Linked DNA regions of Macaca mulatta. The protein of the gene in region 2 interacts with the protein of the main gene of each other region in a pairwise test. Links are inferred from orthologs where the notes say so. Each region holds a gene or a part of one and is shown on either strand. Other genes may lie near its edges.

Region 1 (3,745 bases), on a different chromosome or scaffold from region 2:
TTCTTTGGCTGGAGCTACAGGCCTTTCGTCTTGGGTCAGAGTGTCCCGCCTCCTCCACACTTACCAGGGGGGTTTCCAGAGAAACCTGAAATGGGAATCACAAAAGCAACAAGATGAGATTCCATACTTTTCACATCATGATCAGGGTAGGAAAACCTTCACAGTAGAAGGCAGAAAACACATTCAAAGTACACTTTCACTTTTTTTTTTTTTTTGAGACAGTCTCACTCTGTCGCCCAGGCTGGAGTGCAGTGGTGTGATCTCTGCTCACTGCAACCTCCACCTTCCGGGTTCAAGCGGTTCTCCTGCCTCAGCCTCCCAAGTATCTGGGATTACGGCGCCTGCCACCATGCCTAGCTAATTTTTGTGTTTTTAGAAGAGTTGGGGTTTCACCATGTTGGCCAGACTGGTCTTGAGCTCCTGACCTCAGGTGATCTGCCCACCTGGGCCCCGCGAAGTGCTGGGATTACAGGCGTGAGCCACAGTGCCTGGCCTAAAGGCCACTTTTATAGGAAGAAAGGACTACTTACACTCTCAGAAAAAAAACCCAAAATATAGCAACCGATCATAGAAGAACTATAAAAGGTACTGATCACAAAGGATCTCAGATACTTAATATTAAATGTGCAATATCCTAAAATGTAGCTTGGTTTGGATAAGCAGACAATAACTAGGTCATCCAAAATATCTTACACCTTTGTTTTATTTACCAGCCCTCCTCCCCCGCTACAGGTGCATTACCCAGCTTCTATTTTCATATGAGAAGCCCATTTCCTGTCTTAAAAGTAAAGCTGAATTTTCACCTCTCAGGAGAAAACCACCTATAACAGTTATCTTTTCCAGTTCAAAAAGGCAAGATTATTAAACAGTGAGAGTGTGGAAGGACAAAAGGACAATGTTCAGGTCACCACTTCACCCAGAAGAAGAACGCCTTTTGTTTTCTGAACTTTGAAATCTGATTTCCCTTTCCTATCCTCACATCTTAAAAAAAAAAAAAAAAAAAAAAAGGAAAAGGGCCGAGGCTTGTAATCCCAGCACTTTGGGAGGCCAAGGAGGGCGAATCACCCAAGGTCAGGAGTTCGAGACAAGCCTGAACAACATGGAGAAGCCCTATCTCTACTAAAAATACAAAAATTAGCCGGGCGTGGTGGCGCATGCCTGTAATCCCAGCTACTAGGGAGGCTGAGGCAAGAGAATCGCTTGAACCCAGGAGGCGAGGTTGTGGTGGGCCGAGATCGCGCCACTGCACTCCAGCCTGGGCAACAAGAGCGAAACTCCATCTCAAAAAAAAGAAAAAAGAAAGAAAAAAAGAAAAGGAAAGAAAAAAAGGAGGAGAAGGATGGTGGGGGGCCTACTACGCAAGACTATTCCGTCCAGGATTTGCATAGGCAGGTTTTATTTTCATTCATATGACCTTCTGAGCCAAAGCAGAAGGATATGGCCACGTTCTCTAGCCAGACCGCCCAGTGCCGAGGAGGTAAATCTGTTTCTGGTCTCCACTTTTGAGCTTCCATTAATCTCACAAACCAAGACATACCCCCTCTCCTCTCCGGCGTTGTGACCCATCTACCAACTTCATTCTACAGGGGGAGAGCGATCTATACGTACACAGCGTACGTGTACACACACACACTCACACTCCCTCTCTCTGGTCAGAGTAAACACAATTGCGACCCAGAATTCCTGCTTACGCTACCCTCCCGTTCTCACGCAATTTATTACTAAAACCTCCCAGGAGCCTAAGTTCGAGAAATCGGATAAAGTCCCTTAAAAATCGAGTTAGGGGCAGGGGCCCTGGCCTGAGGCTGGTCCCACCCTGCCCGGATACCCGAGTCCGGCTGAGACCAAGTCGCCATGCCCACTCTCGGCGCCGGAGCTTCTAGCCTCCTGGGGCGGCCAGCGAACAAGTGCTACTTCCCCGGCCTTGACCCACCCTTACAACAAACCCCACCCCGCCCTCCGTCCCGATGGCCCCACCCCACTCCCAAGTCCGGGCCTCACACCACGCCTTCTCGTGCCCTCAACCCTGCCCAGTCCATCCCATCCCGGAGCCAGCTTTCCTCTCGGCCCCGCGCGCGGCCCCTCCCTGTCAGGCCCAGGGCCGGGCTCTGGCGGGAACCCTGCTCGGCCCCCGCCTCCTGCGCCTCAGCACCATCCCGTCGCCCGTCGCCCCATAAGCCTCGGCCCCGCGGCGCTGCACCCCTCCCTTCTAGGAAAGGAATGTGCCCGATACCCGCTGCTTAGCTCGGCGTCCGCCGCTGCCGCCACAGCAGGCCCTAAGCCCGAGTCCCGGCCTCGCCGCCGCCACCGGCCGGCCTAGAGCTCCGAGCCTCCGCTTCCCTCCCCGCCCCCTCCTGCCACCGCACTCGGAAACCCGCCCGCCGCAGGCACCCTAGGAACAGTTTCTCCAATCAACGAGCCGAGACCGGGGCCGTCGACGGATGTCCCTCTGATTGGCAGCAGAGAGGGCCCAATGGCTGAGTGCACCTCCTCATCTCCGGACCCGATTTCCCAAGACTGACATAATTCCCGGCCCAATGGGTACCTAGGCCCGCCCCGCGGTGTGGACCGACCAATGAGTAGGGCGAAGGCCTTAGTGTCTAGCATTCTGGGCCCCTCGGCCGCGCGTTCGCGGCGGGAGATCTTAGCGGGCTGGGAGTTGGGTGAAGTATCCAAGCTGGGCGCTTCCAGCGCTTTCTGTGGCGGGGGATTGAGGGCTTAGGGCAGGGAATGGGAGGGTGTATCGCCGCGGGAGTGCGGAACACCTCCGCCTTGAGGGTTCCCACAGTGACTTGCAAAAGTCTAGTGAGACCCGAGAAGGCTGAGGCGGGACACGAAGCATGTGGTGCTTGTGGTTGCGACGCTCGTGCCGCCATCTTGGGTGCTGGCGGCGGAAACCGGTACCCCAACTTCCTCTCGGTGCGAACCTGGAGAAGCCTCCCCAGCTGTGAGGGACGGTTGCGCCTCGTGGCCCAGGCAAGGGTGCCTTCGCTGGAGCAGTCCCGGAGACGGTTGTCATGAGGGTGGTGGGACGTTGGCGGAACGTTGGTGGTATGAGAGCTGTGGGGTAATGGCGATTTTTGTCATGGTAGAAACACCCCAAAGAGCCCCCCTCACTTGGTCTCCCACGCTGCTTAGTCTTGCTTTTTTTAGGGATGTTTCTCAGTTTCTAATTTCTCCAGTCCCATCTGGTTATATTTCCAAAACATGTTTGTGACTCTCAAACGTTAGTTTACCCCCAGCATCACTTGGGGAGCTTGCTAAACTACGAATTCCGAGGTCCCACTGGAGAGTCTGATTTAGTGACCCTGGAGTGGCGGCCGGATAACCTGCCTGCTGGGATGATTTTAACGCAACTGATGCGAAGACCCCATTTAGGGAATCATTGGGTTGGAGTTTGCAGTGCGTTCCTCCCAGCTATAGGACAAAGAGGTGTAAACTCAAGTCTGTCTTCTTAGAAGAGCCCATTATTTATGGGTGAATCATTAGTCCCTGTACAACTAAGGACAACGCCAACTGATAACTCAGTAAATAATGAGTCCATTTTGTGCTTGCAGTTAGGAGGCTTAATTTGGGGTGGTTTACAGATTAAGTACTTTCACTGTATATAATAAACGTACACCAGCAATTCTTACAAAACTTCTGAGCTAGTTTACCAGTTTCAAAGACTAATTCAGAGAGCATGTTTTACCTATTCCAGACTGGACTCGAACTCCTGGACTCAAGCAATCTTCCCATTTAGTAG
Region 2 (3,745 bases):
AGTCTTTCTCTGTCGCCTAGGCTGGAGTGCAGTGGCACGATCTCAGCTCACTGCAACCTACACCTCCCAGGTTCAAATGATTATCTCACCTCAGCGTCCCGAGTAGCTGGGATTACAGGCACCTGCCATCACACCCAGCTAATTTTTGTATTTTTAATAGAGACAAGGTTTTACCATATTGGCCAGGCTGGTCTTAAACTCCTGACCTCAGGTGATCCACCCTCCTCGGCCTCCCAAAGTGCTGGGATTACAGACACGTGCCACTGCGCCTGATGACCCTGTCTCTTTAAAGGAAGAAAAAAAGGGAAAAAAGGGGTATCAGGCCTTTAAGTATTCCACGAAGGTCAGCTATAATGGCCATTGTCCCCATTTTTCTTATGCCCTTGCAGGTATGAGCCAGAGCGGGATGAGTGGCACTTGGTGGCCCCAATGCTGACACGAAGGATCGGGGTGGGCGTGGCCGTCCTCAATCGTCTGCTTTATGCCGTGGGGGGCTTTGACGGGACAAACCGCCTTAATTCAGCTGAGCGTTACTACCCAGAGAGGAACGAGTGGCGAATGATCACAGCAATGAACACCATCCGAAGCGGGGCAGGTGGGTGGGGACGGTAGTGAGGGGAGCATCCAGGAACACCCCCACCATCCTGGGGTGAAACTGAGCCAGGCCTGGGAGAGACCCCCTGTTGCAACCCTCACCCTGAGATAACCACAGAAGCACTGGATTCTGATAGAGTCCAAGCTTCTCTCTCTCCATGCTTCATTTCTGAGGGTGAGAAGGGAGAGGAGAGAGGAAAGGTCTCCCTCAAGGAGGTGATGGCTGGGGCTCCCAAAGCCAGTCCTCCAGAGTCACCTTCTCTGCACGGTGCCCTTTAGGCGTCTGTGTCCTGCACAACTGCATCTATGCTGCCGGGGGCTATGATGGTCAGGACCAGCTGAACAGCGTGGAGCGTTATGACGTGGAAACAGAGACGTGGACTTTCGTAGCCCCCATGAAGCACCGGCGAAGTGCCCTGGGGATCACTGTCCACCAGGGGAGAATCTACGTCCTTGGTGAGGCCCTGGGGGTGGGGAAGAGTCCCGACTAGCCCCATCTCTTGTGGACTGTGGCTGCTTTTGCTTTTTTGCTTTCCTTTTTTTTTTTTTTTTTTTCTTAGAAACAGGGTCTCGCTCTGTCGCCCAGGCTGAGTGCAGTGGTGTGATCACAGCTTGCTGGAGCCTCAACCTCCTGGGCTCCAGCCATCCTCCTGCCTCAGCTTCCCAAGTAGCAGGGACCACACGCACGCACCACCACACCCGGCTAATGTTTGTTTTTTTGAGATGGAGTCTCGCAATGTTGCCCAGGCTGGGGTGCAATGGCATGATCTCAGCTCACTGCAACCTCCGCCTCCTGGAGGTTCAAGCAATTCTCCTGTCTTAGCCTCCTGAGTAGCTGGGACTATAGGTGTGTGCCACCGCACCTGGCTAATTTTTTGTATTTTAGTAGAGATAGGGTTTCACCATGTTAGCCAGGCTGGTCTCGAACTCCTGACCTCGTGATCCACCCACTTCAGCCTTCCAAAGTGCTGGGATTATAGGCGTGAGCCACCGCGCTGGGGCTTTTTCTTTTTTTGAGACAGGAGTCTCGCTCTGTTGCCAGGCTGGAGTGCAATGGCGCGATCTCAGCTCACTGCAACCTCCGCCTCCTGGTTTCAAGCGATTCTCCCCCCTCAGCCTCCCATGTAGCTGATATTACAGGTGCCCACCACTATGCCCTGCTAATTTTTATATTTTAGTAGAGATGGGGTTTCACCATGCTGGTCAGGCTGGTCTTGAACTCCTGACCTCAGGTGATCTGCCCACATCAGCCTCCCAAAGTGCTGGGATTACAGGCGTGAGCCACCACACTCGGCTTAATGTTATTTATGTATTTATTTATTTTTGAAACGGAGTCTGGCTCTGTCGCTCAGGCTGGAGTGCAGTGGCACACTCTCGGCTCACTGCAAGCTCTACCTCCCAGGTTCATGCCATTCTCCTGGCTCAGCCTCCCGAGTAGCTGGGATTATAGGCACCTGCCACCACGCCCGGCTAATTTTTATTTTTTTTTGTATTTTTAGTAGAGATGGGGTTTCACCATGTTAGCCAGGATGGTCTCAATCTCCTGACCTTGTGATCCGCCCACCTCGGCCTCCCAAAGTGCTGGGATTACAGGCGTGAGCCACAGCACCCGGCTGTTTTTATTTATTTTTATTTTATTTTTTTGAGACAGAGTTTTGCTCGTGTTGCCCAGGCTGGAATGCAATGGCGTGATCTCGGCTCACTGCAACCTCTGCCTTCCAGGTTCCAGTGATTCTCCTGTCTCAGCCTCCCTAGTAGCTGGAACTACAGGCACGCACCACCACGCCTGGCTAAATTTTTATGTTTTTTTTTGGTAGAGATGGGATTTCACCATGTTGCCCAGGCTGGTCTCAAATTCCTGGACTCAAGTGATCCACCCACCTCAGTCTCCCAAAGTGCTAGATTTACAGGCTGAGCTACCGCGCCTGGCCTTTTTTTTTTTTTTTTTCTTCAGTAAGAGACTAGAGTTTGCTATGTTGCCCAGGCTGTCCTCGAACTCCTGGCCTCAAGCGATCCTCCCGCCTCAGCCCTGCAAAGTGCTAGGATTATAGGCGTGAGCCACTGCGCCCGGCCTGCTTTTGCATCTCACAGCTGCTTCTCCCTCTTTCTGTCCCCTGCTCTTGGATGTGGTGTGACAGGTGGTGACCGTCCCTTCTGTTCTTCCTGCAGGAGGCTATGATGGTCACACGTTCCTGGACAGTGTGGAGTGTTACGACCCAGATACAGACACCTGGAGCGAGGTGACCCGAATGACATCGGGCCGGAGCGGAGTGGGCGTGGCTGTCACCATGGAGCCCTGCCGGAAGCAGATCGACCAGCAGAACTGTACCTGTTGAGGCACTTTTGTTTCTTGGGCGAAAATACAGTCCAATGGGGAGTATCATTGTTTTTGTACAAAAACCAGGATTAAAAGAAAAAAGACAGCACTGCAAATAACCCATCTTCCGGGAAGGGAGGCCGCGATGCCTCAGTGTTAAAATGACATCTCAAAAAGAAGTCCAAAGCGGGAATCATGTGCCTCTCAGCGGAGCCCCAGGAGTGTCCAAGACAGCCTGGCTGGGAAAGGGGGTGTGGAAAGAGCAGGCTTCCAGGAGAGAGGCCCCCAAACCCTCTGGCCCTGGGTCCCACCCACCCAGCCAGCCACGCCGGCAGCCCTCACCTTGTGATTTGTTCTTGGATACCTGGGAGGGGGCCAATGGGGGCCTCAGGCGGAGGCCCCCTCTGGAAATGTGGTTCCCAGGGATGGGCCTGTACATAGAAGCCACCGGATGGCACTTCCCCACCGGATGGACAGTTATTTTGTTGATAAGTAACCCTGTAATTTTCCAAGGAAAATAAAGAACAGACTAACTAGTGTCTTTCACCCTGGCTCTGGGCTGGAGGTCTGAAACCCGGGGCCAGAAAGGGCTCTTCTCCTGAAACACACTCCTCTTTGACTTAGGGCTGGTATTTGAAACCGTTTTGTAATCTTTGCCCATCGCATTTTGATATGTAGGGCATCTTTCTCCCCATAGGCAAGCCACACAGCTGTCCTTCAGTTTCAGCTGCCTTGGAAGACAAGGAGCTAATTCCTAGTCACATCTCCCAGGGCTCCCCAAGCTCATTTTTTTTTTTTTCCTTTTATTTTGAGACAGAGTTTTGCTCTTGTTGC
Region 3 (3,645 bases), on a different chromosome or scaffold from region 2:
GTGATCCGCCCTCCTCGGCCTCCCACAGTGCTGGGATCACAGGCGTGAGGCACCCGGTGTGCTTACATGTTTACTGGCTACCTTTCCTCACTGCAGCGTGAGAACTGCTCACAGCTTATTCTCCGTGCCTGGCACATGGTAACACTCTGCCCCTGGAGAGGTTGGCGGGGGCCCATCCAGGCGAGAGGGCTTTGCTTACCTGAAGCCTCCGCAGGAAGCGCTCTAGAGCAGGCTTGCCCACAGACCGGATCTTGCTGCGGTCGAGGCGGACCCGGGCATCTGGGCGCCCATCAGAGCCTGTGGTGGGAGTGATGGTAACGAGTCCCTCGCCAGCCTCCAGCAAGACTCTCAGGATCACAAACCGGGCCTGCATATGGGCCTGCCGGGGTGGGGAAAGACAGCATTTGTAGCCCATATCAAGTGCTTGGTCCTAGGCTTGGTCCTTGGTCCCAGTTGCTCATTTATTGGCAACTGTTATTGTCATTCTCCCCCACCCTGTGGGTCCTTTTCTGCTTATTCCCCTCCCCTCAAATGCTTCCTCCTTCCTCTGCTAACAGAGAGAGCAGGCTGCACTAGGAGACAGGGAGGCCATTTCCAGGTAGGACCTGGTGCCCATGCTCCCCATGTCACCCACCGTGATCCCTGCTCCTCCGGATCCCCCGAGGAGGACAGCAGCTACCCCCTCCAGGGTCCCCAAACACTTTCTCCTCCACAACCTTGTTTGTGCTCAAAAGGGGAACCAAGTAAGCGTCATTATCCCCAGTTTGCAGATGATAAAACAGAGGCCCAGAGAAGTGGAGGGACTTCTTTAGGGGCACACAGCTAGTAAAGGAAGAGCCACAACTCAGACCCACATTTCTGGACCCTGAATGATGTCACAATACCTCCTCAAACCACACCCATCTGATTTTGTCAAAAAGTTTCTATTGCTGGCAGGGCGCGGTGGCTCATGCCTGTAATCCCAGCACTTTGGGAGGCTGAGGCGGGTGGATCATGAGGTCAAGGGATCGAGACTATCCTGGCTAACACGGTGAAACCCTGTCTCTACTAAAAAATACAAAAAATTAGCCAGGCGTGGTGGTATGCGCCTGTAGTCCCAGCTACTCAGGAGGCTGAGGGAGGGGAATCACTTGAACCCGGGAGGCGGAGGTTGCAGTGAGCCAAGATCACGCCCCTGCACTCCAACCTGGTGACAGAGCGAGACTCTGTCTCAAAAAAAAAAAAAAAAAGAAAAAGAAAAAAAATTTCTATCACTTACCCCATGTCCAAAGGACACAAAATGGAGCCGTGGCACTGAATGGCCCTGGAGGCACTGTATAGATGCGAATCCTGGCTCTGCCACTTAGTGGCAAGTTGCATCATCTCCTTGTGCCTCAATTTCTCTTCTCAAAATGAGGGTAACAACAGCACCTACCTCCTGGCGTAGTGAATTCATGGAGGGCGCTTAGAATTGTGTGTGGCACAGAGGGCGTCAACTGCGAGGAGTCCTAACAAAATCACCTCATCTGATTCACCGTGAAATGGTGGCCGGGGAGAGTCCTACTCCCACTTCACAGACAGGAACTCTGGGGCTCACGAGAGTGATGTGACTTGCCCCCCAAACAGTGGAGTCTGGCATTAAACCCTGTTCATCTGCCTTAAAGGTACAGCGGTCCCATCCTTGCACCCTGCTCTTGGCAGGCTGATCATCCTTGTAGGCTCCCTTCCGCCTCCTGGGGGCCCCACCCAGGCCCCACCTGTCGCCAGTTGGAGGCCTCAGGTGTGTAGAACTCCAGAGCGAGCAGCCCAGCCCGAACCATGTTGAGCCAGTTCACGTAGATCACGTCCTCCGCATCAGCCCCCTCAAAGCCAAAGATCCTGTGAGACGGGCAGGCAGGTGGCAGGATGGTCAGAGGCTACCCTGTCCCCATTCCACCGGCCGCCACCACCCACCCTCCATGCCCCCAGGGCTGGCCACTGCACCGGGACAGCCCACCCCTTGGCTTTGCTGCTCTTACTCCAGCACTTCCGGGTGGAGACAGAGGTAGAGGCCCACGCTCTCAGCCCGGCACTCTTCGTAGCTGGAGGCGATGGTGCTGAACTTGCTGTCCCAGGTCTCCCCGCTCCGATACCAGCTCTGAATCTGGAAAAAGAGCTCCACTGTCAGGCTTAGGGTGGCCACTGCCCCACCCCACCTGTGCCCACCCTCCCAGCACCCTGGGGCTCTACTGAGGCCTCCCTCACCTGCTCGCCCGTCTCTGGGTTGATCACTGTCTCCTGGTCAAAGTTGAATGCTCCTTTTTCATCCTGCAGAACACAGGCTGGGTGAGGGAAAGGCACCCCCAGCTGGATCCAGGCCTCCAGCGCCAGAATCCACGGGCCCAGAGAGTGGCTCAGGAAGGCAAGTGGGAGCGCAGGAGCAGCAGGTCCGTCCACACACTGATGCCTGCACAGCCCTGAGCCCTGTGACGCTGGCTGCCTCCTCAGAGCCATCAGGAACGCGAGAACCAGAGATGCCTACCCCACCGCACAGAGAGGAGAACCGAGGGCCAGACAGTCGAGGAACTTGCCCCAAGTCCTGTGAGGACCCAGATCTGGTGTCTCCAGACCCCAGTAGGAGATGCTCCAATGGGTGGGCCAGAGAGCCCAGCTGTGCCCACCATGGGCTTCTGGTCTGGCTCCTGGCACTGCCACTCCCACTGCATGCCATGCGTCTTTCATGCAGCATCCTTTTAATCCTCACAACCATCTTCCGAGGACAGTGCTACTATTATCCCACTTCACAGACGAGGAAACTGAGGCTTGGAGCCTAAGAGCCCCAAACTGGAGTCAGAGCACACAACCTCCGTGGATACTGTCTCTCAACACTAATACCTGTTTGCTGAGGACCTACTGTGTGTCAGGGCTTACTGTCTTCACCTTTACTCCTCACAACAGCCCACACAGCAGGGGTCAGGAATCTCATTTTACAGATGGGCCAACTGAGGGTTGGTGAAGGAGCTGACTTATCCAAGGCTACACACAGCCTGGATAAAGTCTGGCCAAGGCGTTTCGCCAGCCTGCTGCCTCAGCAGCTGTTCTGCGCATCCTCCTGACCCCGGGGCCCAGTTCCAGCCCTTCCCCATCCAGGGAAGCAGCCCCACACCCCAAGAAGCAGGGCCCACCAAGAACCCTGCCCTCGGAAGGGAGGGGCCACACCCCACCCCACTTCTGGTCATCTCCATGCTGGGGGTCCACATCAGCTTTTCAGCCCCCCATAAAAGGTTGTCTGTGTTTCCATATTCCCTGGGTAGGTGTGGAGGGGACTCCAGTCACGCTGGCTGGCTGGCAAGAAGGGGCTGCTCTGGGGAGAAGTGGCTCCCTACGATACCTGGAAAAGCCCAGGCTCCACGGAACAGCAGCGCAAACAAAGATAGCACTGCTGCCTCAGATGGGAGCACCCAGAGATGCCCCCTACCCCCAGTGTCTGTCCTGGGGCTGCTGGAGCCACGCCCTTAGGGTGTGCTTCCTTAGCCTGAGCCAAGCAATTCCTCCTGGTGTGGGGAACAGCAGCTGAACTGTCCCAGAGGGCCCTCTACACCCCGGCTCTACACCAGGCCTCTGAGCTCCTGGGACATCTTGAGGAAGGGCAAGACAGGGTCTTCTCTGCTTAAGGGGCCGTTTTCC

The links.
Region 1: the proteins of KEAP1 (region 2) and NFE2L1 interact in binary tests that used the Homo sapiens proteins (3 or more experiments, as listed by UniProt). The link is inferred for Macaca mulatta from reciprocal best matches to the Homo sapiens genes KEAP1 and NFE2L1.
Region 3: the proteins of KEAP1 (region 2) and DPP3 interact in binary tests that used the Homo sapiens proteins (3 or more experiments, as listed by UniProt). The two-hybrid records come from large-scale screens. The link is inferred for Macaca mulatta from reciprocal best matches to the Homo sapiens genes KEAP1 and DPP3.

What each region holds. Positions count from the first base shown.
Region 1 is NC_133421.1:61,973,408-61,977,152, forward strand, and holds the start of NFE2L1 (endoplasmic reticulum membrane sensor NFE2L1), read right to left. Parts: upstream 2,346-3,745; 5' UTR 2,234-2,345; exon of another isoform or gene 1,265-2,233; intron 242-1,264; exon of another isoform or gene 86-241; 5' UTR 1-85.
Region 2 is NC_133424.1:11,213,492-11,217,236, reverse strand, and holds the end of KEAP1 (kelch-like ECH-associated protein 1), read left to right. Parts: intron 1-389; coding exon 390-595; intron 596-873; coding exon 874-1,050; intron 1,051-2,763; coding exon 2,764-2,930; 3' UTR 2,931-3,457; downstream 3,458-3,745. UniProt on the Homo sapiens protein: Substrate-specific adapter of a BCR (BTB-CUL3-RBX1) E3 ubiquitin ligase complex that regulates the response to oxidative stress by targeting NFE2L2/NRF2 for ubiquitination.
Region 3 is NC_133419.1:7,920,234-7,923,878, forward strand, and holds part of DPP3 (dipeptidyl peptidase 3), read right to left. Parts: intron 2,287-3,645; coding exon 2,224-2,286; intron 2,123-2,223; coding exon 1,998-2,122; intron 1,858-1,997; coding exon 1,737-1,857; intron 380-1,736; coding exon 200-379; intron 1-199. UniProt on the Homo sapiens protein: Cleaves and degrades bioactive peptides, including angiotensin, Leu-enkephalin and Met-enkephalin. Also cleaves Arg-Arg-beta-naphthylamide (in vitro).